7 linked regions of the Danio rerio genome follow. Each later gene encodes a partner of the first gene's protein in a complex. Links are inferred from orthologs where the notes say so. Each region holds a gene or a part of one and is shown in the gene's direction. Other genes may lie near its edges. The genes, in order: snrpe, smx5, plrg1, gemin2, snrpd1, snw1 and prpf31.

What was found.
Region 2: snrpe (region 1) and smx5 share a complex: the UniProt entries of both Homo sapiens proteins name them as parts of the U4/U6-U5 tri-snRNP complex. The link is inferred for Danio rerio from reciprocal best matches to the Homo sapiens genes SNRPE and LSM2.
Region 3: snrpe (region 1) and plrg1 share a complex: the UniProt entries of both Homo sapiens proteins name them as parts of the minor spliceosome. The link is inferred for Danio rerio from reciprocal best matches to the Homo sapiens genes SNRPE and PLRG1.
Region 4: snrpe (region 1) and gemin2 share a complex: the UniProt entries of both Homo sapiens proteins name them as parts of the SMN-Sm complex. The link is inferred for Danio rerio from reciprocal best matches to the Homo sapiens genes SNRPE and GEMIN2.
Region 5: snrpe (region 1) and snrpd1 share a complex: the UniProt entries of both Homo sapiens proteins name them as parts of the SMN-Sm complex. The link is inferred for Danio rerio from reciprocal best matches to the Homo sapiens genes SNRPE and SNRPD1.
Region 6: snrpe (region 1) and snw1 share a complex: the UniProt entries of both Homo sapiens proteins name them as parts of the minor spliceosome. The link is inferred for Danio rerio from reciprocal best matches to the Homo sapiens genes SNRPE and SNW1.
Region 7: snrpe (region 1) and prpf31 share a complex: the UniProt entries of both Homo sapiens proteins name them as parts of the U4/U6-U5 tri-snRNP complex. The link is inferred for Danio rerio from reciprocal best matches to the Homo sapiens genes SNRPE and PRPF31.

The regions. Positions count from the first base shown.
Region 1 is NC_133186.1:40,122,906-40,126,983, forward strand, and holds the start of snrpe (small nuclear ribonucleoprotein E), read left to right. Parts: upstream 1-1,278; 5' UTR 1,279-1,400; coding exon 1,401-1,454; intron 1,455-1,743; coding exon 1,744-1,770; intron 1,771-3,132; coding exon 3,133-3,195; intron 3,196-4,078. UniProt on the Homo sapiens protein: Plays a role in pre-mRNA splicing as a core component of the spliceosomal U1, U2, U4 and U5 small nuclear ribonucleoproteins (snRNPs), the building blocks of the spliceosome.
Region 2 is NC_133181.1:30,702,745-30,706,709, forward strand, and holds smx5 (smx5), read left to right. Parts: upstream 1-1,165; 5' UTR 1,166-1,241; coding exon 1,242-1,244; intron 1,245-1,660; coding exon 1,661-1,728; intron 1,729-1,840; coding exon 1,841-1,871; intron 1,872-1,963; coding exon 1,964-2,023; intron 2,024-2,885; coding exon 2,886-3,011; 3' UTR 3,012-3,946; downstream 3,947-3,965. UniProt on the Homo sapiens protein: Plays a role in pre-mRNA splicing as component of the U4/U6-U5 tri-snRNP complex that is involved in spliceosome assembly, and as component of the precatalytic spliceosome (spliceosome B complex).
Region 3 is NC_133176.1:27,248,398-27,252,485, forward strand, and holds the start of plrg1 (pleiotropic regulator 1), read left to right. Parts: upstream 1-1,288; 5' UTR 1,289-1,386; coding exon 1,387-1,395; intron 1,396-1,583; coding exon 1,584-1,690; intron 1,691-4,088. UniProt on the Homo sapiens protein: Involved in pre-mRNA splicing as component of the spliceosome. Component of the PRP19-CDC5L complex that forms an integral part of the spliceosome and is required for activating pre-mRNA splicing.
Region 4 is NC_133192.1:14,292,630-14,296,645, forward strand, and holds the start of gemin2 (gem-associated protein 2), read left to right. Parts: upstream 1-1,216; 5' UTR 1,217-1,326; coding exon 1,327-1,445; exon of another isoform or gene 1,446-1,466; intron 1,467-2,491; coding exon 2,492-2,573; intron 2,574-2,653; coding exon 2,654-2,743; intron 2,744-3,919; coding exon 3,920-3,979; intron 3,980-4,016. UniProt on the Homo sapiens protein: The SMN complex catalyzes the assembly of small nuclear ribonucleoproteins (snRNPs), the building blocks of the spliceosome, and thereby plays an important role in the splicing of cellular pre-mRNAs.
Region 5 is NC_133194.1:2,232,850-2,237,057, forward strand, and holds the start of snrpd1 (small nuclear ribonucleoprotein Sm D1), read left to right. Parts: upstream 1-1,408; 5' UTR 1,409-1,552; coding exon 1,553-1,566; intron 1,567-2,156; coding exon 2,157-2,233; intron 2,234-4,208. UniProt on the Homo sapiens protein: Plays a role in pre-mRNA splicing as a core component of the spliceosomal U1, U2, U4 and U5 small nuclear ribonucleoproteins (snRNPs), the building blocks of the spliceosome.
Region 6 is NC_133195.1:5,542,395-5,545,894, reverse strand, and holds part of snw1 (SNW domain-containing protein 1), read left to right. Parts: intron 1-301; coding exon 302-406; intron 407-502; coding exon 503-572; intron 573-732; coding exon 733-798; intron 799-907; coding exon 908-1,024; intron 1,025-1,338; coding exon 1,339-1,480; intron 1,481-3,382; coding exon 3,383-3,485; intron 3,486-3,500. UniProt on the Homo sapiens protein: Involved in pre-mRNA splicing as component of the spliceosome. As a component of the minor spliceosome, involved in the splicing of U12-type introns in pre-mRNAs.
Region 7 is NC_133191.1:35,281,639-35,285,016, forward strand, and holds the end of prpf31 (U4/U6 small nuclear ribonucleoprotein Prp31), read left to right. Parts: intron 1-789; coding exon 790-862; intron 863-967; coding exon 968-1,096; intron 1,097-2,227; coding exon 2,228-2,326; intron 2,327-2,456; coding exon 2,457-2,576; 3' UTR 2,577-2,630; exon of another isoform or gene 2,631-2,662; 3' UTR 2,663-2,878; downstream 2,879-3,378. UniProt on the Homo sapiens protein: Involved in pre-mRNA splicing as component of the spliceosome. Required for the assembly of the U4/U5/U6 tri-snRNP complex, one of the building blocks of the spliceosome.

The DNA.
Region 1 (4,078 bases):
GCAATTCCTAGCATGTTTGTTTTTTTAATTATTTTTATTGTGTCAGAACTTGCTGAAGTGAGTACACAGACGTACACAGAGTACGCAGAAAATGTCCTCTTGATGGACAAAGTATAACTTACAAAATAAACAAAGAAAACATCAGATTTTCAATGACAATTTAAAAAAATATATATTATTTATACAGATTATAAATACATAATATATCAAATACACAAACGAAACAAGAGAGAAATATACTAAGTTGGTAACAAATATATTCCAATATTTTAAATAATACAAATATTTAAGAGTCACTACAGATAATGGATTGTGCTGAGCTATTGAGAAACAACTACTAAACAATAAACTATAGAGTTTAACGCGAAACTAAAACAACATATACATATACAATTAGTCAATTCAATATTTTTAACCTTATTTTCTTCTCCCTTAAGTAAATGTAGATCGAGCTAAGTAATATAATTGCCAATGTTGACAACAAGATAAGCTAGGCTAGCTAATAGCCATGCCACATTACGTTACAAAAGCTCAGCTTACATACAGTTAAGTCGTATTAAAATGAACAGTTTTTCACTAGAATTGTGTACTCTTAAAGATAAACAGAAATATAATCATAAATGTAATAAAAATGGCTAAATCACTCACCGCCGAGCGTCTCTTTAAACAACAACAGACACACTGACCGTGCAAAAGCCTGCGCGGTACGTCACACACACCTTGTGTACTACGTCGAAAACTACGCTTCAAATGTGATCTATTACATATATCTATGATCTATTAATGCGTCAATAGCATTACATTTCAATATCAGCGGAGCCTTGGTATATTTAATAAGAAATTAAATGGAATAGCTGTACTTTTTAATGTAATAAAGCGTTTAAATGAAACTCTAAGGGTAAATGCTGATTGAAACCGGTATAAAGACCATGGTCGAAAGTTTTTGTCATCAAAGGACTTTTTGAGAGCTAAAGTGGGAGTATGCCGATTATCTTTTGATCTTTTGCTACTTTGTTTATTTCTGATCGAGCACCTGCTTTTGAAATTTTTAGATGTGCGCACATTTCTGTTTTTTTTTTTTTTTTTGCTTTGAAACCGGTGTATTATTATTGCACATAACGTCTTAACAACTTTTAATAGTAGTATGCATTATATAAAGTTTAAATAAAGCATTATATAAAATTGTGTGAATCTGCCTTTCTGTAGTGTCTCCCCAAGCCACAGGAGGCATTACATAGAATCAGCGCGCCATTTTATCTGCGTCATTCTGTTTCCGGATTTGCGCCGCCATTGAAACAACAGCAGCCAACGTGAGATTTTCGTTGCCGCGCCAATAACTATTACACTTAATATCACATTTTGTCACTTTTTATAATAACATCCGGATATTATTGAGAAGAATGGCGTACAGAGGACAAGGACAGAAGGTTCAAAAGGTCATGGTGCAGCCCATCGTATCCTTTCAGGCCAAATAGCTGCATTGAGCTCTCGCCATTGTACCGATATGTGTTGGATGTGTGCTGTTATATGTATAATGTAATATACTTTGACATATTATTGTATAATATAATATAGTTTAGCATATTATTGTAGGTAATATAAGTTGTGTTAGCTAACATTTTGAATACTAAATACTTTTAGCAATGTTTGAGCTGATTATAACAGTGTCCCTGCGTTACAAATGAATGAAAAAGGTTATGAATCGTGTTTATATGTCATTTGTTTCCTTAACGAGTCTTTCAGAACCTTATTTTCAGGTATCTACAGAATGTAAGTACTTGTTTTTCAATCTGCGACATACACAAGCTTTTATCTGTCCACATATGTCTATTTTTTCATGTGTTTATTGTATTTTTGTAGAGTAAAATCTTTATTCTGTTATACCTGCTGATTTATAGATGTCTTGATAAATATCAAAAGTGGTAGTTCTCTCAGAAATGAAAATATTGTAAGCATTGAGGTAAAGTTTGTTAAATTATATTCACACATTCTGAATTTCACGTTCAATAAAATACAGGTCATGGAAAACCTGAAAAAGTCATGGAATTTTGACACAGCATTTTGCAGGCCTGGAAAAGTTTTGTAAAAACAGGGAAATCCACAGAATTTTGGAAAAGTCAGAGAAATTAGTTGAAAAAATATCTGTACACTTGATTTAGCGCGATATTGAAAAGATCTGACTTTACAATATTTTGTATTTCTGTGATCTATATTGCGATGTGAAAACTATTTCACCTGGTGATTTAAATAGAGGTAAAGTTGGTTTTATATTCTGATATTCAGACTTTCCCCTTAATAATATAATTACAGAAAAGTATTCTTTGCAAATTGTAAATGGGGAAATCATATGAGCAGCAAATGACTATCAAAGTACATTGTTCACAGTGAATTAGATAGTGTTAATGTTGTTTAGAACTCATACGTGCATGCTAATTCTGAATATTTAAGGTAACATGGTAAACAATAAAGAGACTGCAGTGCTAAATGAATGAATGTGTAAATATAAAACCAACTTTACCTATTTGATTCAACAGGTATATTTGGATTGATTGGGGGAATTTTGTAGAGGAGTGAATCTTGAATAATACATAACAGATCAATTACAAGCATAGATAAATAAAATATAGTAAAGATAAAATATAATTATAGTTTTCAGATAATCAACACTGCAGAGTCTTCACTGTATATTATTTAATCTTTATTAGAGTTACAAAACATTTCTTGTGGCCGGATGTTTTGAAATTTGAAATATTGAAATGTTCACACAGTCACAAGCCTTATAGGGACAGTTTACTTAAAGATTAAAATGTACTCACTATTTACTCACCCAACCGTTTACTCCATTATGATTAAACTCGAAATTAAACTATTATCTAATATATATAATTTAATATAATTTTAGGGTCAAATATCGACACGCCCAAACATTGGGTTAAAAAGTGACATTTAAATTTCATTAGATAAAAGGTTTTGTCCATATTTGACCCAATTTTGGGTTCCGACAATCCAGCATTTTTTTTTTTTTTTTTTTTTTTTTTTTTTATACAATGTTTTTTAAAAATTGTTTTGTTTAAACCACTTGGCACAAAATCTAAATGAGCAGTTGGTAATAATTTTCCTGCTTCTTTGCAGCGTTCCCGAATCTCGGTGTGGCTGTACGAACAGGTCAACATGCGGATAGAGGGTTGCATCATCGTGAGTAAAGTCTCCGATTTACCAATAACACTAGAGCTGGGAATCTGGGCTGCTTGATCAATTGAAATGAAAACTCAATCCTACCTTTTCAGGTTAGCTAAATCCTAATTCACAACTGACAAAATGCGCATAAAAATCGCCTTCAATTTATTGCCCAGCCCTACTGGGATTCTTTAATTAAATCAATGCATTGAATCAATAAATCAATATTCAACTGCAATTCATTATAAAGTGATGAGTATTTATTTAATATAGCAGAAGACGATATTATTAGCCCTCCTGTGAAAATGTGAGTTCTTTTTGTTGAACAGAAAACTGGGAAATCTTCTCGATATGTCATGTATGTTTTTTTCCTCTGGAAGATGTACATTTATTTTACTTTGGAAGGAAGTAAAGCAATTTTGACCTTTTAAAAATAATCTCAAAAGTTAATATTATTAGCCCCCTTAAGAAATATTTACATTTTTGATTGGCTTCAGAACAAACCTCTGTTCTCCAATGATTCCCTGATTACGAATGCTTTATAATCATTGCTTATGAATGCTAATTACCCTTAAGCTGAATGCTTGTATCTTTTAAAAATAATATAGCAAAAACAAAAGAAATTAGTAATTAATACTTGTTTAAAAATGTGCTGGAACAATCTCTCTGCTAATCAGCACTTGGGAATTATAATTATTATTTTTATAAATATGCCATCATCGGTGTATAATATTTACTCCTTTTATCAGTACAATATACACTCACAAGCCACTTTATTAGGTACACCTGTCCAACTGCTCGTTAAGGCAAATTTCTAATCTGCCAATCACATGGCAGCAACTCAATGGCTGTTTCTCAATTCCAAGAATGCAGAGATTGGACTTGCGTTCTTGTGGAGACC
Region 2 (3,965 bases), on another chromosome or scaffold:
ATCTTTTTTTGCAAATAAACTTTTCATATATTATATCATGTTCCTTCTGTATAACCTGTCAGAAGTTTTTAATTATTAAATGTGCGTTTCTCATGTTGTCACTTTTACATGTTTAGGCATACAGTACATCTTTCTTTTTCATTAACAGTACAGTGCATCTGCAGATCAACTACTGGCATTTGAAACAGCATCGGAATCGCCACTCATTTATTCATTCATTGTCTTTTCGGCTTAGTCCCTTTTGTAGGACTTATTGTAGGACTTATTGTTATGTTGTTTGTTTCAGTGACAAACATTTAGCATCAAAGTATTTTACAATATTTTAAACTACAAAAATAAAAGACATTAATGTATTTTTAATACAAAACATTAAGCCATTTCCATCAACCCTATCATAAATACTGCCCATCCCTGCTTATATTCATTCTAGGTAATTTTCAGAATGCTTGCTTTTAAAAACAGGAGAATGCATATTAAAGCATAATGTTATAAGAAGGCTCTATATGTTTAGGAACATTTATCTTTAAATTATAGAGAATCCAAAATCCATTTTTATTTTCAGAAATGTTGAAAACTTGTAAGCACTGACATTCATAGTATTTGTTTGTCATACTATTAAAGTCAATGGTTACAGGTTCCCAACGTTCTTCAAAATATGGAAAGATCAAGATGGTTTTAAACAAGTAAATTGATTAAATTGGCTGAATTTACATTTTTTGGATGCACATAAATACATAATCGTGAAAAACATTATAATCATTAGCATGTCGTGGAGGTTTTGTTTTGTTTTACAATATAGCGTTTTGTAAGTGGACTGCTTTTTTGTTTTATAAATGGGGATAACGCAGAGGATTAACCTGAGCCCTGGACTGTGCTTTATTATTATTTGTCTCCATCTGCTGACGAAAGAGGGAATTGCCAGAAAAGAGGAGCCATGTACGTGTATCAGCAAGCTCTGTGTCAGACATGTCATGTACCTCTTCGGGCATAAAGTTGACTGTTTTAAGAAAATATTTCACATCCATTGAACATGCGCCTTTTAATCTCTTTTGTGTGATGAACGATTGCGGAATAATTTACTGAGATGAGTACAAATGACGCAAAAACAGAACAAAACGCCAACAATTTCGCGACCAATGGGATTTTTACGTCTTCATTCTTCTAGCCAATAGAAGCACAGAGTGAAAGACCCGGCAGCTTTTTGATGACGTATGTGATCTAAAGCACAAAGCCGCGTGAAAATGGTAAGTGTTGTTATTTAGCAATATCATACAGTAATTTACGTTTAAGGAATTAATAAACGTGCTACGACCATTTGTTTAACATATTTAGGTTTTTTTGACCACTGTGTTCGCGAGAAAGACAAACAATGCTTCATGCTAACAGCTAACGCTAGCTTTCTTCATAGCCAAATAAAACAACATTCTCAAGCAAGGATTATCCCCTTAATTAAATGCCCAACAGAAACAACTCTGGCTGACTCCTATTATATTAAAGTCTTGGTATTTCATTTGCCTGCGTAATTTAGAAAGCAGTGTTATTTGCTGTTGACATTTCTCATTTGGTCTGTTGATAAAACTTGATTCAATCGTTTTATCGATGTCTTATTTGCTGTCCGCCTCATATTTTGAGAGTAATTCCTTCAAATGTTTATTCTCAGCTCTTCTACTCGTTTTTCAAGTCTTTGGTTGGCAAAGATGTTGTGGTGGAGCTCAAGAATGACTTGAGGTGAGTGCTCACCTTTCTTTTACAAATATTATATATATAATTAGAAATTGAATATACATATTTTATAATGTATGTGCCAGCTCGTAAAACTATGAACACATCTATTTTGCAGCATATGTGGAACATTACATTCAGTTGATCAGGTACGGAAACTGACTCCACACGTTTATTAATATAAACAAATATTGGGCGATTTAGGATTAAGTTAATCTTGTCATTTGTTCTTCCCTCACAGTACCTGAACATCAAACTGACAGATATCAGTGTTACTGATCCAGAGAAATATCCGCACATGGTGAGAAATGGATGAAATGAAAATTACACTCATAATCTTGGGTCTAATATCTTTATCAATGTCATGGAATTTTAAAAGGTTCATTTCAGACATTGAAATTTAGGAAATGTTGATATATTTTTGTCAGATTCATGGAATAACAGGGATTTTTTGTTTGTTACTTTACATTTTAGCTTTTCTTTATTAAAATATATTTGATATTTACAGCCATGCAAACCGCAAGTATTTTTTTTTTATATTAAGTAAATTATCATTTGTTGTTCTCATAGTGGCTATTAAATGAATGTAATAAAATGGCTAAAACCATTTCAATATATTTTTAATTTAATATTACAATTTTTTATAAGCACTACAGAAGCCTGTTATGTTCATGTCATGGTTGATATATTGGTTTATGGTAAAAGTACAGAAATTAATACTATGAAAAATCTGAAAATAGCAAGTGTAGGACCAATTTATTTTAAAGAATATTCAAAATAAAATTTTTTTTTGAATACTAAGTCATCTTTATTTTTTGAAATATGCAATAAAATATTTTCAGATTCTCATATAACATTGCTTTGGTTTTATTGTCAAAAAAACTAACTAGAAAGCAAGTGTAGAATTGCAACAGGATTTTTTTTTGTAAACCAACAATGCTGTGTAGTGAAAACCATTATTTAAAACGGTGAAAATACGGTCAACCATTTGATAGAGCAGGCAGCTAAAGGGTTAAAGAGGGAACCCTGATAATTGAATTGATTCCTAAATTAATGTAGATCAGGTTATTAAGTCTGTGATTTATGAATTGTCATAGTGATGTAGGTGCTCAACAAGGAGAACTTTGGTGTATATAGATGACTCTAATATTGTTTTGTTGTAGTTGTCTGTGAAGAACTGCTTCATTCGTGGATCAGTGGTGCGATACGTTCAGCTTCCTGCAGATGAAGTGGACACACAGCTACTACAGGATGCTGCACGCAAAGAAGCTACACAACAGAAACAATAATGTTTATATTTGAGAATAGTTTGGTTTTGTTCCAATGTTCAGAAGCATCATCTGTGGAGTTTTGTTGATTTAAATGTTTTTCTTACCTAAAACATGTAAAGTTTTTTTTTTCTCTTTCATTTTTACGTCATGTGAAGCCTGTTATTGAGGGTGTGATTTACTGTTTTTTTTTTTTTACTTCACAAGTTAGTGGTTGTGTGCTTTTAATGAGTGTTGGTAAAGTTCTGTACTGCATACCAATGACTTTTAGTTAGGTTCACACATTGATGCAAAAATAAAGTATTTTCCTCTGTTTTCACACTTTCCTTTTGGTGGAAAAAATCGTCCATTGTTGGAGTTCAGCTGACAGCATTTTACAAATTATGTTCGTGGAATGCTGGTGTTTTGGTTTAGGCAGGCATGTCCAAACTCGGTCCTGTAGGGCTGGTGTCCTGCAAAGTTTAGTTCCATACCCAATCAGACACACCAGGGCTAGCTAATCAAGCTCTTACTAAAAACATAATTGCAGATGTGTTGAGGCAGGTTGGAGCTAAAATCTCCAGGACACCGGCCCTCCAAGATTGAGTTTGGACACCCTTGGGTTAAGGTGAATGGATAGTTTAGCAGAGGTGTCAAACTCAATTCCTGGAGTGCTGCAGCCCTGCACAGTTCAGTTCCAAGTGTATTGGAGCAGGGTTGGGTTTCAAAGAAGCCCGAAAGATTTAATTACTTTAATCTGGTTGTGCTTACTTAAACTGAACTAAACAGTGCAGAGCTGCAGCCCCCCCAGGAACTGAATTTGACACCTGTAGTTTACAGCCTAGTCCCAAACAAAAAAGTAAGTTGTTTAGAGTAAAAGAAACTCGTAGTTACTGTTCCTAAAATATACCAGTGCCTTTGTTTTGTGTTTTTTAGGCACTTTTATGCGCTAATAAAGTAATCATGGCTTTATCAAAGCGAATGTAGACCACACTA
Region 3 (4,088 bases), on another chromosome or scaffold:
ACTTTGCTGTCAATGGAGGATAAGGGAGCTCTTAGATTCATACATATCTTAATTTGAGTTCTGAAGATGAACTATTATCTTGAGGGTTTGGAATGACATCAGGGTAAGTTATTAATAACAGAATTTTCATTTTTGAGTAAACCAATCCTTTAATGATATTATTGCAAATATGCCATGTTGATGGCAGCTATCAAGGTTTAGATAGCTATCATCTTAATATACATCAATTAAACAGTAATAAACATTTCTTTTTGTAGTTCAATAATGTATGGTATGGTAAGGACACACAATAAAAAACGACACAGAAAATATTATATTTACCTCATATTTTGATATCTTGTGAGTAAGGTATCAAGGCGGCCCAGTCAGTCAGTTTACATAGGACTACTAATTTTGTTTTCATACAAAGTAGTTTTTTTAGCTTTAATAAACTATCATAATAAAAGCTATTTTAATTCCGGTAAGGACCATGTAAATGTGTGGGATGGCCGCATTTAGTTACAATAAAAAATCATAAACAATATTAGCCTATATAATAATAATAAACTTGAAGAAAGAAATGTTAAATAAGCTGATGAAAATCAAATAATATAAATTTTTAGTAAAATGTTCTTATTTTTTAAAACAAATTGTGACCAGAGTTATGGAACATGAACAAAAATATGTTTGGAGGTATTTTCATAAGTTTAGGCTATATAAAATCACTTAAATATTATTATATATAAACAAACATTTTTTTCAAGGTCTGTAATATTTATAAAGCATCATATACCAAATTTTAACATATATCTAAAAATATGTAAATAAAAAAAACACTTTCTCTTGGCAAAAAAGTATATTATTTTATAGTGCCACCTTGTGGATTCTCACTAGTAGGTCTTTTACTACATCCTAAATTTTCAAAACTAGCAGATGAAATAAATTAAATTGGCTGCCTGACCTTTTTACATTATTTATTTATTTATTTATTTATTTATTTATTTATTTATTTATTTATTTATTTATTTATTTATCTATCTATCTATTTATTTATTTATTTATTGGTTTGTTTGTTTAGAACCCATAAGCAGTCATTAACTTTAGTGTTTAATGTGGTCTTCCCAAAGTTGTTGGCAGCCAAATACATCGATACTGTAAATGTTGTGTTTATTGTAAATGGCCATAAGTTGACTTTTTGGTGATAAAAAAATAAAAATAAAATACGAAAAAAAAAAGACTTTTAATGGACTGTCGTGTCTTGCTGACGTAACACCCTACCGGAAAACGCTTTGTCGCGCCCGGAAGCTGTGCGTACGTTTGCACTACTGGTTCGGGTTGTGATTGTTCGGTGTGTTGGGAAGTTTCTTTATTTGCGTTAGTTCGTCGTGTTTTAAAGGACCCCCAAACATGACCGAGGTAAGGCTGTGCTGTTGTTGCATTAGCCGTTGTTCATTTGAAAATGATATCTGTTTAGTTTTTCTGTAATTGAACGCGGCGTAACGTTACTGTATTACCACACGTGTGGTCATTTGGATCTGCATATACGTCTTATAATATCCAATCAATTAATCGATGTTGATATTTTGTCTTTTTTATACACACAGGACGTGCAGAAGCACTCAGTCCACACGCTTGTGTTTCGCTCTTTGAAACGGACTCATGATATGTTTGTGGCGGATCATGCCAAACCTATAGCGCAGGACGAGCAGAGGTAAATAATCAAACTTTTTGCTCTCAGTATTGTATGGCAACGTTGATTAAAAATTAAAATCGATATAGACCTTTCACTCACCCTCAGATGGTTCCAAACCTTAATACGTTTCTATTTAATTGAGATATGTTGAAGAATCTTGGAAACCGGTTGCCATTGACATTCATAGTAGGGAAAATATTATAAGCGTCACATTGAGGTGAAGCTGGTTTTGTATTCGCTCATTCGGACTTTCTCCTTAATAATATAATTTTTGTTAAAGTAATCTTTGCAAATTTTAAATGGGAAAACCATATTAGCAGCCACGACTATCAAAATACAGTATTGTTCACAGTCAAATAAATGGTGCTAATGTTGTTTTGAAGTCATATTTATATGTGATTTCAGACTGAATGATCAAAGTACCTAGGTAAACAATATAGGGAGCATGTCACAAGTTATCACTGAAAGAATGTACGGATATAAAACCAACTTTTCCTCAATGGACATCATTGGCTACCGGCTTCCAAGATTCTTCAAAATGTCTTATTTTGTGTTCAACTAAAAAAAAATCTGACAAGTTTGGATCAATTGGGAGGGTGAATCATTTTTAATTTTTGAGCAAACTGGCTTTTCAAGCAGAAAAGACATTTTGAATGGTGGTGGTGATTTATAAACTCGTGTTACAGGGTTTGTTAAAGCCATGTTTTTTTACAATAACATTTTACAGCATTTGACAGGCTGTTCATCACCACTGTGAAGATCCTACTCAATGCTTGTTTTACAAGATTTCCTTATCTGCAAAACAAATTTCATTGGACTGTCCTGCTTTTAAAGGGGTGGTCCAGAGTGTATTTTTAAGCCTTGTTGTGTTTATAAGATGCAAAGCAATGTGTGCTCATGTTTAATTTGTAGAACATCTTACTTTGATTATATACAACTACTCAGCTAACATGAAAACAACTGTCATTTCCTAGTTTCTTCAAAAGCCTGTCCTCAAGAGGCTCTGATTGGTCAGCTAACATAATGTGCTGTGATTCACAGATCGGCTCCACGTCACCAGGAAATGCACCTCTAATAGCATGCACTGTGCCTTTGCTTGTGTAAATACTGTCAATCAGTTTAGCTGTTAGTCATATCAGTTTGAGCCTGAATCAGAAAGAAAAAGAAAAGGACACAGCTGAACCTCACGCCCGTTCTCTAAAATAAAACCTGACAAGTGTCTTTCACATATATCCGGAATAAGCATGTGTAAGTAATATGAAACTTTCACATATCTTTTGCGAGTTTGTTGTCTGAGATGTAGAACACAGGGAAATCGACCTCATAGACACTGCAGCGTGGTAAAGATTGTGGCTGTTTACAAGGGTTTGATGGACAAATATGAATTTGTAGCCAAATTGTTAGTAGTGCCCTACAGCATTTCCCATTGTTTACATTTTTGTTTGTGTCTTTGCTTCAGCATACCGTTAATGATAGAAACTGTGCATGTAGTAGATCAATTATAACAAATATAAATATCAGTTTTGTCTATTATGGTTGCAACTTCTGCTTCTTTGGAGGAGTTTTAGCCGAATCCAACACTGAACTTGGAAACATTCTGGAAGCTGTCCTTTGTCAAATGCTAGAGCTTTATCATTTTTATCATTCTCTGGAACATAATTAAAATTAAGCTAGTTCGATTGAGTAGGCGCAGCCAATGTGACATCGTAGCGGAGTTTGCGGAGGTTTGGGTGCGTACAACATGATTTCGGGAATAGTTTTTTTTCTTTACACTCGAGCAAACAGTGTGTGCGGTGCCGCATTTGATTTGAGTTTAATATGAAACACTTTGAAGAGATTTTGTCTGGAACAGGTACGCCTGTACAGACATCTTTTGTAGAGATAACCATTTATAGGATTTTACAGTGATGTATATATTACAATTTTGAATTTAAAACAATTTAATAGTTACAAAACTAAAATGAAGGAACAAAATATTTCTTTGATAACTGGAAAGGAATATTTAAACCCATCGGTTTACAATATACTGATGGCTTGTTTGTCTAGGCTTTATCAAATCAAATCAGGCCTTTATTTGTCACATACACTTTCGTATTGTGAAATTTGACCGTACACAAACATCACAATTTTCAGGGGAAGACAGGTCACAGGAGGTAGCATTTAGAAAGGCAAGATGCATCAGGAGGGTTAGGCAAAAAATACCCTCTAAACTTTGCTCTTGATTAGAGCAAATTGAGACGGAGAAAAACAGCCCATCTAGCACAAGAAAGCACACAGACAAGACACAACATTGACAACTGGGATGGGAACAGGGGATATGGATGTAGTGCGATGAGGGTGGGCAGCCATCTGGTCCTGCAGCCATGGAGGAGCTGGTCGCAGACCCGCCCACTCCTCTCATGGGTGAAAGCATACG
Region 4 (4,016 bases), on another chromosome or scaffold:
CAACTTCAAAGCATTACCGAGTGTATCATGGCCAGTTTTCAGTTTAAAAAAGAATCATGCATTCATCCAAGTTAATTATATATAATTTTATTATAAACTGAGTAAAAAATTAACCCTGAAACCAGTTTCCAAAAGTCGTCAATAAATGTACAAGCACAAAATAGATGTAGGAGACTTTCAGGTTTAAAACATTCTGATGAAATGTCTTTTTAAAATGTATTAATGAACAGATGGCAGGGATACCTGTGTAATATTTTCTTTATCTTTTTTAAATACATTTACTGTATTACAGAAAGATACATTTGGTGCACATCATTTACAATAATAATCATTAGATTATTTACAATGGTGCCAATAAAGAATGAAAAAGAAGAAAAAAGAAAGAGGAACAACCAACAGAAATCAAACAAAAAACAAAGAAATATCAATAGGCCATCTGATCTGAGGGTAGATATATAGATTTAAAAAAAATTGAAAGTGAAGAGGGCAAAATAAGAAGCAGCAATTTAGAGATTTAATTGATTATAAAGGTCGTGCAAATGGTATGCTTTGAGTACTTTCTTGTTAAGTGAATCTGGAACTGTAAGTAATTTTTAATCTCTTGTAAATGCTAGAAATGTTAGCTTGCAACTTGACATTGACAATATACATTTATGAACATAAAATCTGCATAAAGAAAAAGGTTTATTTTAAAGTAGACATTAAACTTTGTTATAAAAAACACCAAAAATGACTTTTGTAGTCACAGAAAAATGCTGTAAAGTAATATTTGGACAATTGCATGACCAAAATAAGCGAGGAGTTTCAGCGTTAATCTGACAAAAGGAGATATTTGTATCAAAGTATGATCCAAATCTTTTCTTTAAGACATTTTTGATAGGATAAATGTTATGTAATAATTTAAAAGATATTTCCTTTACCTTTTTAGTAAGGAAAAACTTGATGTATGGACCATATATTTCCCCAGTTTAAATAATCAAAAAGACCGTTTCAATGTGAGATAGCAGAAGGGGTAGAGTTTTCAAAAAACACAGCTCTTATTTGATAATTTTTCCTTTTTATTTAACCTTATTGGGGAGTAAATAAAAAATATTCTACTTGTACAATATTTCTCCACCATTTTATGTTGTTACCCTTCACATTTCTCCTAAACAACAGATGTCGCTACACATCTTTCCATCTGTAAGCGAGTGAATAAAAGAACCGTCGCGTCTATTGATCGTCATCCTCGTGTCCAATGTTTTCAAAATGGAGAGGTTGACATGCACGTAATAGTGAGCATGTTGATTTATTTTGATGGTCGTGCATAAAAAATAAGGCAAAGAGATGAAGTCAGACGCCGAGGAGTTGATGCCCAGACTCCTGCCAGTGGATTCCTGCGACACAGAGGAATATACTCTTACCGAGCCGCCTAGAAACCCTCAGGAATATCTCAGATTTGTCCAGTAAGTCTTTCGGCTATTGAGGTAAAGTTGGTTTAATATTCGCACATTCAGACATTCTCATCAATAATACAGTTTTAGAAAAGTATTATTTGCAAATTGTAAAGAAGGAGATCATATTAGCTGCCAATGACTACTAAAGTACAACATTATTCAGTCAATTAAACAGTACTTATGTTGTTAAACCCTACTGGAAAAAAAAAACAGCTTAAACCAGCCTAGGCTGGTTGGCTGGTTTTAGCTGGTTGACCAGGCTTGTTTGAGAGGGGTTATGGCCATTTGCAGGCTGGTTTCCAGTCATTTCCAGCCTGGTCTTAGCTGGGCAGGCTGGGAGATGACCAGCTAAAAACACACACACACACACACACACACACACACACACACACACACACACACACACACACACACACACTCACAGAGAGAGCGCTGTGGGGGAAATCAGAGCACCTAGAGGAAACCCACACCAACACGGGGAGAACATTAAAGCTCCACGCAGAAATGCCTTATGGCCCAGCCAGGACTCGAACCAGTGACCTTCTTGCTGTAAGGTGACAGTGGTTACCACTAAGCCACCGTGCCGCCCGTCAAGATTGTGGCTCTATGCTGGTTTCATACCTAGAACCTCATAGTTTGTTACCCAATGCTTAGCACGTTGAACTAATTGATCAAATTGGTAAAACTAGTGATCCGAAGGACAGTGGCACTAACAAAATATGATTTGGGGCTACACTTTAATGCTTTTGGCTAATAAATTACTATTACACAGAATAACTATTGTAAATATTGTTTGTAAAAAATGTTATTTTACACATTCTAATGCAACAGGAAAAACAAAACTACTTTAAAGCTGTATTAGCTTTTTCTTGTTGATGAAACTATGCTTGACTTTGACTCTTGTTCGATGAACATTATAGTAGTCAGCATTTTACAAGTGGATTGAAAACGCTTTTCGAAATTGTTCTAAGACAAGAGTGGGTGTTGTTCAATGGTTTTCGGGCAACTTTAATAAAAAGACCCTGTTTAAATATCGACTACTGTATATTTTACAGGAGGGAAGCATCTCTGTGTCCAGATGTTGTTGTGGCACAAATTGATCCAAAGAAGCTGAAGAAACAGTCAGTGAATGTGTCTGTAAGTGGGAAAAGTGAACTGAATAATCTGTTATAAATTCTGTAATGTGTAAAATAACTGTGCCATTATTTTTGCCTCAGATCACAGGTTGTCTTGCTGCACCTGAGGGTTTTTCACCCAGCTTTAAATGGCAGCAGCAACAAGTCAGCAGATTTTCAGAAGTCAGACAGGTGTTCAATATTAACCACATTAGTTTCTTTAAAGGGATAGTTCACACACAAAAAATGAATATTTACTCATTATTTATGAATGTTACTATTATTCAAGTGGTTCCAAATTTTTTCAAGTTTATTTTTTCTGTTGAGCAAATCCATTCATTCATTTTCTGCCGCTTTTCCGGGCCGGGTCGCTGGAGCAGCAGTCTTAGGAGACAACCCCAGATTTCCCTCTCCCGAGACAGTTCCTCCAGCTCCTCCGGGGGGGATCCCGAGGCGTTCCAAGGCCAGCCAAGAGACATAGTCCCTCTAGCGTGTCATGGGTCTTCCATGAGGCATCCTCCTGGTGGGACATGCCTGGAACACCTCCCTAGGTAGGCGTCCAGGAGTCATCCCAAACAGATGCCTGAACCACCTCAGCTGAGTTCTCTCGATGTGGAGGAGCAGCGGCTCTACTCAGAGCTCCTCCCGGGTGACAGAGCTCCTAACCCTATCCATAAGAGTGCGCCCTGCCACCCTTCGAAGGAAACTCATTTCGGCCACTTGTAACCGTGATCTTGTCCTTTCTGTCATGACCCAAAGCTCATGACCATAGGTGAGAGTAGGAACGTAGATTGACCGGTAAATCGAAAGCTTTGCCTTTCGGCTCAGCTCCTGTTGAGCACAAAAGAAGATATTATAAAGAATGTTAGAAACCTGACTTCCATAGTAAAAAAAAACAAATATTATGGAAGTCAATGGTTACTGCTTTCCAACATTTTTCAGAATAGATTCTTTTGTGTTTAGCAGATGAAAAAAAAAACAGGTTTTACAGGTTTTCAGCTTTGTTCAAAATAAAGGATGAGTAAATGATGACAACTTTCATTTAATATTTCATTCTGTCATCATTTACTCACCCTTTATTTTGAAGAAAGCTGAAAACCTGTAACTATTGACTTAGTAGTAGTATTTAGAATTTGTTGTTACTACAGTATTTCTTTTTCCTAATATGGAAGTCAGTGGTTACAGGTTTTCAACACTCTTCAAAATGCCTCTCAACAGAGGAAAGAAATTCATAAAGGTTGATAACCACTTGAGGGGGAGTAAATACAGAGTAAATGTTCTTTTTGGTTGAACTATCCCTTTAAGTACTTTTAGACTTTTTAGAATTTGTTTTTGTAATTTGTTTCATCCATATATTTCTTGTTTCAGAGTGTGAACAAGCATCGTCAGCATTGGAAAGCTCAGTTTTTGGATGATAATGTTGTCATGGTAGGACTTTATTTATTATTGGGCTTAAATTAAATCT
Region 5 (4,208 bases), on another chromosome or scaffold:
AGCGCTCACTTCCGGGATTCACTTCCTGCCGCGGGGTTGCCAGATTCGTTAAATTAAATCTTTTGCTACGTGAAAAAAGTGTCTGAATTTAAAGCTGTATTATACTTATATTATCTCGAAACCCAATTAAAGCTTAAATATGACTATTATTGCTGTTTCTGTTAATTAAAGTATGTTTTTATTAATTTATTTACCTTTACTTGAGATATCGCCACGGGGTTGCCAGATATTTTAAAATTGAATCCACAACTGTGCATGAATGTTATTTTTAATAGAGAAAATATAATTACAAAGACAGAAGAAACTTTATATTATATTATAGTATATTATTTATTCATTATCTAAAATAAATAGTATTTTAGAGATTCACTGTAGTATAAAAAATACGTAAAAATTGTTTAAATTTAAAGTTGTATTATACTTTTATTATCTTAAAACGCATCTAAAACTTTAAATTTGATTATTATTGCTGTTTTGGTTAATTAAAAGTATGTTTATATTAACCTATTTACCTTTACCGTGAGATATTGTCACTGTAGGGTTGCCAGATACGTTAAAAATAAATCTATTCCTGTGGTTGTTAAATGCAGCTTTTTTTTTAAACTGGGAAAATATAAATAGAGTAAAGACAGAATAAAGCTTTCATTATATTATAGTATCTTATTTATTCATTATCTACAATAAACAGTATTTTGGAGCTTCACTTTGATATGAAAATGACACTACATGAAAAATTGTCTAAATTTAAAGCTGTATTATACTTTTATTATCTTAAAACACAAGTAAAGCCTTAAATATGGGTATTATTGCTGTTTTGGTTTAATAAAAGTGTGTTTTTATTAACCTATTTACTGTATCGTCACTGTGGGGTTGCCAGATACGTTAAAACTAAATCTATTCCGGTGGATGTTGAATGCTATTTTTTTGAATTAAGAAAATATAATTACAAAGAAAAAAACAGAATAAAGTTAATATTTTATTATAGTATATTTTTATTCATAGTCTAAAATAAATCATATTTTGTAGCTGCGCTGTGATATGGAAAAGATTTAAACATTTATGAAAAAAAAGTGTCAAAATTTAAATCTGTATTATACTTTTATTATCTTAAAACGCAATTGAAGCCTTAAATATGATTAATATTGCTGTTTTGGTTTTTTAAAAGAATGCTTTAAGGAAACTATTTACTGTGAGATTAAATTATTGTTGTTTTGGTTAATTAAAAGTGTATTTTTATTAACCTATGTACCATGAGATATCGAAATTGAAAAATACTTTTAAGCTATTATCATAATAAAAATTGTTGTAGCAACATTTAAAATTTTAAATTCGCTTTTGTATGTTTATAACATGCTTATAAATGAAATTACCAGCGTGTAAAAATATTCCGGTGATTTTGTTGAGTAATGGCAACCCTTCTGTCCTCAGAATTCTGTTTCCCTTTCACCCAGGAAGTGATTGTACCATCTCTCCAGTAGCGTCCTACATTCGTTTTGCGCTACAATTTTTTCTCATCTAGGTGGAGGATTTTCTCTCAAAGTCCACCGCCATCATGAAACTCGTCAGGTAATAAACATCTACAGCTGTCATACAAGTAAAATACACAAAGAAACTTTGCGGATGCGCGATGTATTTTAATAGATGGAGCCGGATTGTGTGTAGCTGCTAGTTAGCCGTTAGCTTCATCAGGCGGGAATGAATGAATGGGCGAGCGTTTGTTTGAACGTTTTACTCATTTGTTTTAAGCACATACGTGTTTTAAACTATGTAATAAGCGGGTTTAGTCTTAGATTATTAATACATTGTGCGTTTTTTGGTGGTAGTTTGATCATGCGGGGTCTTAAATGCAACAAATACATAAACAGAAACAATAACTGTTAATGCTAAGTTAGCTACATTTATTTACTAGTTTCTAAATATGCTAGCTGTATATAATCATATAATTATGTTAATAGACACTATAGTGTGTAGTTAGGAAGTCTAAAGATTATTGGATATATAGTTTATCATTTGTTTTAAATATAGTTATCAGTTTATTATCATTAGTAAGCTGTAAATACTTTATATAATCATATTGACAAAATGCTTTATATGTAGATATTAGACGTTATGTTATTATAATTGTTTATCATTGTTTTTATGATTGTGACCTGCAGGTTTTTGATGAAATTGAGCCATGAAACCGTCACGATTGAGCTGAAGAATGGCACACAGGTCCATGGCACAATTACAGGTAATTATTATTTTAAGTAATGCACCATAATCACATTTATAAACTGTCTGCTATGTGCCTGTTTCATTAAATGAGGTCATATTATGCATTTTCTCTTTGAATCTGATGCATTACATCTCATAGGTGGCCAATAAATGTGCTTATATTGAGGTGAAGTTGGTTTTATATTAGCAGGTTTAGACTTTGGCGTTCTATGAAATAGCAAAGCAGTATTTAAAAAGGTGAATACAGATTCATTATTTTTTACCACGCTGCTTTGAATATTTGATCTGAAATCACATATAAGAATGACTTCAAAACAATATTAGACCGTAAACAATATTGTGCTTTATAGTCATTTGGTGATAATATGATTCCCCTATTTAGTATTTGCAAATAATACTTTTCTGAAATTATATTAAGTCTGAATGTGTGAATATAAAAACAACTTTACCTCAATTACATCTGTCAGCTCCCGGAAAAAATGCATTTAACCTTTTAGCTGAAAATGACTTGACTTAATTGGATTGTTATGCAATACTGTGCACCTTTTATAAAGCTGCTTTGAAACACTAGTCATTGTAAAAAGCGCTATACAAATAAACTTGAATTAAAAAGACTCATTGTATATGCCCTATATTGTGCTAATAATAATAATTAGAAAACTTGTTATACTTTGTTGATGAATTAATGCCACTGAGTCAGACTCGTATTATAATAATCATGTGAGCAGAAAAACAATAGATCATGGTATTGTGTGAAAATTTACATCTTTACTTGTGGAGATTTTCAATTTTTAGACCAGTGATTCCCAAAGTGGGAGTCGGGACCTCCTGGGAGGTCGTGAGTCCTTGAGGGGGGGTTGCTTGGTGATTTCCAATATATACATATAAATAAATTATTAAAATTACCATATTTTATCCATAACCTGCAGAAGATAGTGTTTAATAGTTACATTTAAAACAAAAACATGTACATAAACAGACAGCAGCGTTTACATTATTTTTCCATTGGATTACGACTCCTTGAGTGATTACGCTAGATTAATAACACAGCAATAGTGTTAGTTGCAGCAGATTTATTTTACGGCTCAATGTTAAACTTTGACACATTTACAGCACTCCTGTACATTAAAAATAAAGGCCACGACTGAACATAGAGGACGATCTCCAAGTGGCGGTCTCCGAAATTAAATCAAGAATAGACTTGTGCTGTATATATTTCACAATTCTCATTAAGTGAGGTTAATATTAAATTAAACAAATGAATAGTGACTATAAAATGATATGGTTGATAAACTGCTGCACTTTTGTTGTGTTGTCAATAAGCTTGTTTATATAGTTGCTATTGGTTTGTGTGTGTGCATTATTGTGTACAGTGTTTGTATGCTTATTACTAGGCCCACACTTATTTTGCGCGAGCTGAATTCCGCTGATGTTTAGCCCATCATTAATTCTGTTTATTTACTTGAGTAAATGTGTGTAAATCTATATTAATTCAGTTTTTACATTTATTTCAGTAATATTATTGACTAATATGAAAATGTTCGTCTGACTTATGTACAATGCAGTTTGTACCGTAATATTTTCTGTCTTTTAGTAGAGATATTATATGAGAGACTTGCTTTGTTTACCAAATAATGTGAATCTAATTGGATTAGCATTTTAAACATTAAATAAAAATTATATAAAGATATTTTTTTTTATGTCATATATTAAGGTTTTAGTTATGATACTCCCAAAATAATTCCGCAGATCTTTACCAAAACTCTCCGCAGAAATAGCAAAAAACGCCCGCAGATTCCATCTGGCCCTACTTATAACCACCTCAGAGGATAGTGGGGTTGTGAGTTACTAAAATTGTTATTTTGGGGGTCACGAGTTAAAAAGTTTGGGAACCCCTGATATAGATCATAGCAACTTTTCATTTCTTGCTAGTTGTAATACACAATGTAACTACAGAAGAATCAAGTGAGATGCTAATGGTCTAATCTGAT
Region 6 (3,500 bases), on another chromosome or scaffold:
TAATACTGATGTGCATGTGATTTTTCAGTTTTTTTTTTTTTTTTATTTCAAAAAAATTTTCAAATAAATTCACATTGTCATTATGGAGTACTGTCTGTAGAATTTTGAGGAAATAAATTAATTTAATCCATTTTGGAATAAGGCTGTAACATAAAAATTTTGGAAAAAGTGAAGCGCTATGAATACTTTCCATATGCACTGTAGATGTCTTTGCGCTCCAAGATGTTAACAAATCTGTATTTTAGTTGTTTGAGTTCCAAAAATGTTTTGTCAAAACAAATTGTTTTAATATTTCTTAAAGGTACACACCCTCTCAGCAAGGTCTCGCATTTAACTCTGGAGCAAAACAGAGGGTCATCCGTATGGTGGAAATGCAGAAAGATCCAATGGAACCCCCTCGATTCAAGTATGTTGTTTTCATCCACAATTTTTAAGTAAGTTTGATCTATAAGGGAAACTCTCAAGAAACTCTGTGTTTTTTTGTGTGTGTGTTTTCTTACAGAATCAATAAGAAAATTCCTCGTGGACCTCCTTCCCCTCCTGCTCCAGTCATGCACTCTCCAAGCAGAAAGGTGGGAGTTTTGCTTCCTCCAAATATCGATCCCAAACATCGACAGTCATCAGCTTTGTTTACACTCCGAATTCATACAAGCCTGTCTTGAAGTATTTCTGAGAATATCCCAACAGACCTCAAAACATCATTGTTTTTCTTTTTTGTGTGTGTTTTTTTAGATGACAGTGAAAGAACAGCAGGAATGGAAGATTCCTCCTTGTATTTCCAACTGGAAGAACGCAAAGGTACCGGCGAATCTTCATTAATTATTCAGCTGTCTGTTGTCGGTTCGAAATATTGACCATGAAAACAACCCACATTGCTTTCTCACATCTCTCGTTTGTTACTTCTCAGGGTTACACCATTCCTCTAGACAAGCGTTTGGCGGCTGACGGACGAGGCCTCCAGACCGTCCACATCAATGAAAACTTTGCCAAACTGGCAGAGGCTTTGTACATAGCAGACAGAAAGGTACGCTTCTTGTTTACGCATCCCTTAACACTTTGACAGACATTGCTAAGTTTACTAACTTTTACAAGTAGAAAAGTATTCTAAAAGACTGAAGAATGTCTGAACCACTGATCTGTCTCAAGATGTAGTCTGTGAAAGTATTTTGCGTCTTTTTAATAAATTTGGAAAGCAATTTATGGTCTGGAATGCAGACTTTTTATAATGCAAACCGTTCCTAATTAAACAATCTTTGTAGAGCTTCACAGGGTTTTACTTTCACCTGATGTATGCACAAGGCTGAGTTTGGTAATGTTGGTTATGTGATTTTTGAATAGGCCAGAGAGGCTGTGGAGATGAGAGCTCAAGTGGAAAAGAAGATGGCCCAGAAGGAAAAAGAAAAGAAAGAGGAGAAGCTGAGAGAGCTGGCTAAGATGGCCAGAGACAGGAGAGCTGGTATCAAACCCCACGGTGATAAAGGTACCAAAAGACTCATTTAATGTCAAGTCCATGCTAACATTGTGGCTAGGTTTTAAAAAGTGAATTGGGAATGTCTTTTAAGTATTATTCAGAAACAGTTAGAGATCACACAGGTGTCATCATTTAAACCTTAAGGTTGCAAGTTTTAATATTGTAAAATGACATTCAAATTGTTAAATAAATATTTTCAGTATTCAATTTTACCTTTTACACTACAAACAGCATTTTCTGAAAGTGGTATTTATTCATGATAGTCAATGTTTAAATTGTCAGCTACATTTTTATTAATCATTTACGCTTAAAGGTGCTTTATAAAAGTTTTTGACTCTTCTAAAGCATAAAACTACCATAATACGTTTGCAGATATCTAAAAAAAATGTGCTTTCCGTGCTGGAATGGCCATCTTGGTTTTGGTTCTTTTAGCCCGTCCAATAAAAGTTTAGTCATTTACATTTTTGCACCCTGGGTTGACATGGTGAAAAACTGCATATTTTATTTATTAAGTCAGGAAGGCTCTCGAAGTATGCATTCCTGACTGAAATGCGACCTCCGGTGAGCAGTAACAGACTCCACATAAGAGTTCCACATAAGGTTATTAATTAGCAAATAATATAAATATTACGAATGTAAACATTAGTTGAACAGGTTACATTGCAACCCTATATCCTATATAATACCCTATATAACATGCTACGTGACAAAATTTGCAGTTATAAGCAATTTGGCTGTTTGCACCAGACGAAACGCAACAGAAATTAAAACACAACCATTCAGGAGCACAGAATAGCGCACTTACTGGATTCTGACCAAATGGTAAGGTTTAAAATCTAATTAATACATGCTAAACCTCTTTGATATTAAATGTTTGTGCTGTATCACTGATATTGATGTTATCCGCGCGCAAAAGTATAAATGCACGGCTGCGCGCAAGGCTTGTGCCGTGGGTCACAACGATCACTCAACACCAGACCCGGATCAAGAATTCAGAGGTCCCTGGGCACAATATCTTGTAGGCCCCCTACCTAGCCACACCCCTGTAGTTGAATTAAAAATTAAGATCAATTTTTTTAAATAAATGATGTACAGTACATATATTTCTAGTCTACAAAGATTTTACTTATTTTTAAAGCATTTAAAGCAGAATAAAAAAAAATACTCCATAATACACACACTTATTAATCATTCCTACTTGCCTTCCTCGAGATGAGGAGTAGGCAAAATCGGATATGTAGTGGGGAAAAAAGAAGAGTTTATTAGATGCTGGATTCGAAGGATTCGGTTCAGGATCGATCACGTCAAAACATGTTGCCATGCGCTTTACGAGCTACGCCACTGACGCTGCTATCTATTGTGCTCTTTAGTGATGTTGTCTCTGTCAATCAAACGGTGATGGACGTGAATCGCTTAATGCCTATTTGTTAATCCGGCCCTGTTCAACACAGAAGTATAAACAAGTATTTAGGTCCAAATGTACACACCCACTACACATGAAGTTGATTGGAATTACAGTTCTCGACGTTAAAAAAAAACCCCAGACAGACAGGGTTTATTGCCTTTATTAGAGAAAAAAAATGTTTACCCCACCTTCTGAAGCTTCGAATATTTGATATTCATTATTACCAAAGCTTCTAAGCTGAAAATAATAGTATTTAGACCAGTACTTGAATCCTTTACAGTTTTGGCAAATGTTGATCTTAAAAAAACTGTTAAAAAATTTTGTATGTTATTTATTGTGGTTAATGGATTTTTGTTGTTTTGTTTTATAAATAAGTCATGTATAAATATGAAATAAGCCATGAAATAGTCATTGAAGCTGAGATCAACCTTGGTTTTAAACTGATCCTTGTGCTAGACCTTCATAATGCTGTCACATCACCATTTATGTGTCTGGTTTTGTCTCAGGTGGTGAAGACTCCGAAGTCAGGGAGCGTGATGAGATTCGTCACGATAGGAGGAAAGATAGGCAGCATGACAGGAACATCTCCAGAGCCGCCCCCGATAAGAGGTGCATGCATTTTTT
Region 7 (3,378 bases), on another chromosome or scaffold:
AATGGCATTCAAACTCACATTGTTAGCATCTAACACTGAATAAAGCACATGAGCTATACCTGAGGTGATCCATTTCTCACAGGTGAACAACAAGATTAACTGTTTCTAAAATAGAAATTTACAGTTTTGTTAGGACAAAAACTCCTTTTTTGTATAACAAATATTTCTTCTATCACGTGCCATTGCTTTTAGTTGACAAGCTGTTCAAATCAGCCTTTAGGCTTGATAGTCAGGCACACTCGCATAAATCTGGCAACCTGCGCTTGCATGGACTTGTCAGAGGAGGAGCCCAGTGAAAATGTGTTTTGATCCTGTATTGCAATACCTAGTTCAACCAATGGGTGTCAAACTTGCATACTGCACTTTTAAATGACTAAGTTTTAGAGAAAAAATAATGATGATGACAAGTGCATTAATGAGAAAAAGTAACAAAAATATATACTCTTGGAATAAGCAGAAAAAATAGGTTTTCAAACATGAGAGATCAACTTTGTTATGTTGAGATCACAAGAAAATTAAGTTGTGATCATAAGAAAACAAGTAAACTATATTGACGCATGGCCTTTAAGGACTTCAGTCGATATTGTACGCATCAATACTAAACATGATTTTTGACCATTGTTTTTCCTAATAAATCATGTTTTTTTTATTTATTGTTGTACTCCTCAATATACAACAAAAACAAGATATCTACAATTACAAAATATTGAGTTATCTGTCTTTAAAAAGAAACCTTTCATATATTAAAGAATTATTTTGATTGACTTGCATTTTTCCTGGTTCTCTCAGGTATCGTAAGATGAAAGAAAGACTGGGACTGACTGAGATCAGGAAACACGCCAACAGAATGACTTTTGCAGAGGTCAGATGAACTGCATCAGCAGCTCTCCATTAGTGTGCTTGCTTTTGAAATTCTATAGATTGATTCAGCTACTGCGGGTTATTAACGTTCTCTTTCTCTGTGTAGATTGAGGACGATGCCTATCAGGAGGATCTGGGCTTCAGTCTCGGTCAGCTGGGAAAATCTGGCAGTGGCAGAGTCAGACAAGCTCAGGTCAACGACTCCACCAAAGCCAGAATATCCAAATCTTTACAGGTACATCTGCAGCAAATACTAAGGGAAAATGAAGCTTTGAAAGCAAATTTTCTTTGCTTGGGGCATTTTCACAGATGGCTAATTTGCTTATATTTTCGCTTATATTTTCGAATCTGGTGCGTTTTTTTTAGAGATGTACCAAAATGAAAATTCTGGGCTAAAAATGAAAGCAGACATACGAAATGCTCTGGAAAACCGGAAATGCTTTGTAATAATTATTTATTATTTTATTAAATTATATAAAGTCATCTTTCAAGACTTTTTAAGTTTGACATAATTGAATTTATACGGATTTAAAAACAAAAACAAAACACAAGCCAGTAAAATAACCACATGTCCTTAATTTGAGCTGTATTGTGTTATTGAAAAGTTCCCGATAAGTGATCAATTTATTAAAGAGATATTATAAATAAAAATTATATTAAATGACTAATTAATACTGATTTTATTTATAAGCCTCTTGTGCTCGTCAGGCTGCTTTTATAAAAAAAATTAATTGAAAAAAAATGTGAAATAAATTTACCATTTATAATAAAGTCAACTATAATAATGTATTGAAAGCTATTTTGTTCTCATACATTTTAAAATAAAATATATGTCTATGATGGCAAAGCTGAAAATTCAACAGACATTACCCAACTACATTCAACATTACCCAACTACATTCAGTGTCACATGATCTTTCAGAAATCATTCAATATAATTTGCTGATTTAGAGCTAAAAAAAAACATGTATTAATAATATCAATGTTGAAAGCCATGAGACTCATTAATTGTTTGCTGAAGTCTATTTAACCGAATGTATTGTAATTCCATTACAACATTGATGCTGTAAAAGGAACATTATGAAATTGATAAGTCACATTAAGCTTTCACCAGAAGTTCATCATTGGCTGAAAAACACTAGCTCTGCATAGAGCCCATTCAATCATTATTTTAATGATTTCTTTTTTAAACAAGCCTCTCAAGGACATTAATCTGGGATAAATCCTCCTGAATCACTTGTCACCTCTGAGTCAATTTGCTGCCTTGCTCTTTTTTAACAGAATTGAATGTGTCAGCTTGATTGTTGTCATTATTTTTATCCATTATTTCTACACACGTGGTCTTACATCAGTTGTGTTGTTGCAGAGGACACTGCAGAAGCAGAGCATGACGTACGGAGGCAAGTCTACAGTGAGAGACCGATCGTCTGGAACCAGCTCCAGCGTGGCCTTCACTCCTCTACAGGTACACTGTCTCGCAGTCCAGCTGCTTTTGACTCTTTTCGTGCACGTTCTGGTTCATTGTGGCGTGCTGAATCTCAGACTGCCAGCGTTGGTTTGGTTGATTTGTTAGTAAAGCATCTGTTCTCTGTCAGGGGCTGGAGATTGTGAACCCACAGGCTGCAGAGAAGAAGGTGGCTGAAGCCAATCAGAAATATTTCTCCAACATGGCTGAGTTCCTCAAGGTCAAGCGTGAGAAGGAGGACAAGGTGTGAGGCGTCGGCGGCGGCGCATCAGACATGCAGTGACAGCCATGGATAAATTAGCAGATGAAGTGTGAATCTGTCACACACCCACTCAGATGGACTTGTGTGGGGACGGTGACATCATGAGGATTGCTGTCATGCACATTTTGTACATTTGGTTTTCTTTTTGTATTTCATCAAACAAAGGTGTTTAGTGCTGTCTATATAGAACAGAACATTGTAAATGCAAGTTTTCATTTTAAGGAATTTTTTATTTTTATTTTGACAATTACAAACAACACTGAGTGAATAAAGTTGCTCATCTAGTTGGACCAGAGTTTTTTCTTTTTTTCTTTTTAGTGCTTGTTAACTTTTTTATTTGTCCTGTAAGAAACTAATATTACATTCAAAATAATCTAAAGTGGTTGTCTCAAACTTAATTCCTGGAGGGCCGCAGCTCTGCTCAGTTATGCTCCGACCCTGATTAAACACCGCTTCTCCATCTAATGAAGGTGTTCATAACCCTTTTGAACACCTGGATTATTAGGATCAGGTTTGTCTGCAACACATCACATCTGAAGCAGTCCTGAAATGAGAAACAAATGTTGTGCGGTGCATGATTTAATAAATAATGGCAATGATTTTAAAAATAAGAGCAAATTTAAATGCCATGGTGACTTTAATACCAATTAAACAGTAATTAATAGTAATCAAAATACTGCAGCCTTATGAAGACAAATCACACACAGCGCAGTTGTAGACTGCATTGGGCGATCTGAGCTACTTTCCTTAGAGAAGACCCCCATCATTTCTTTGTGCAAATTCTATTGTT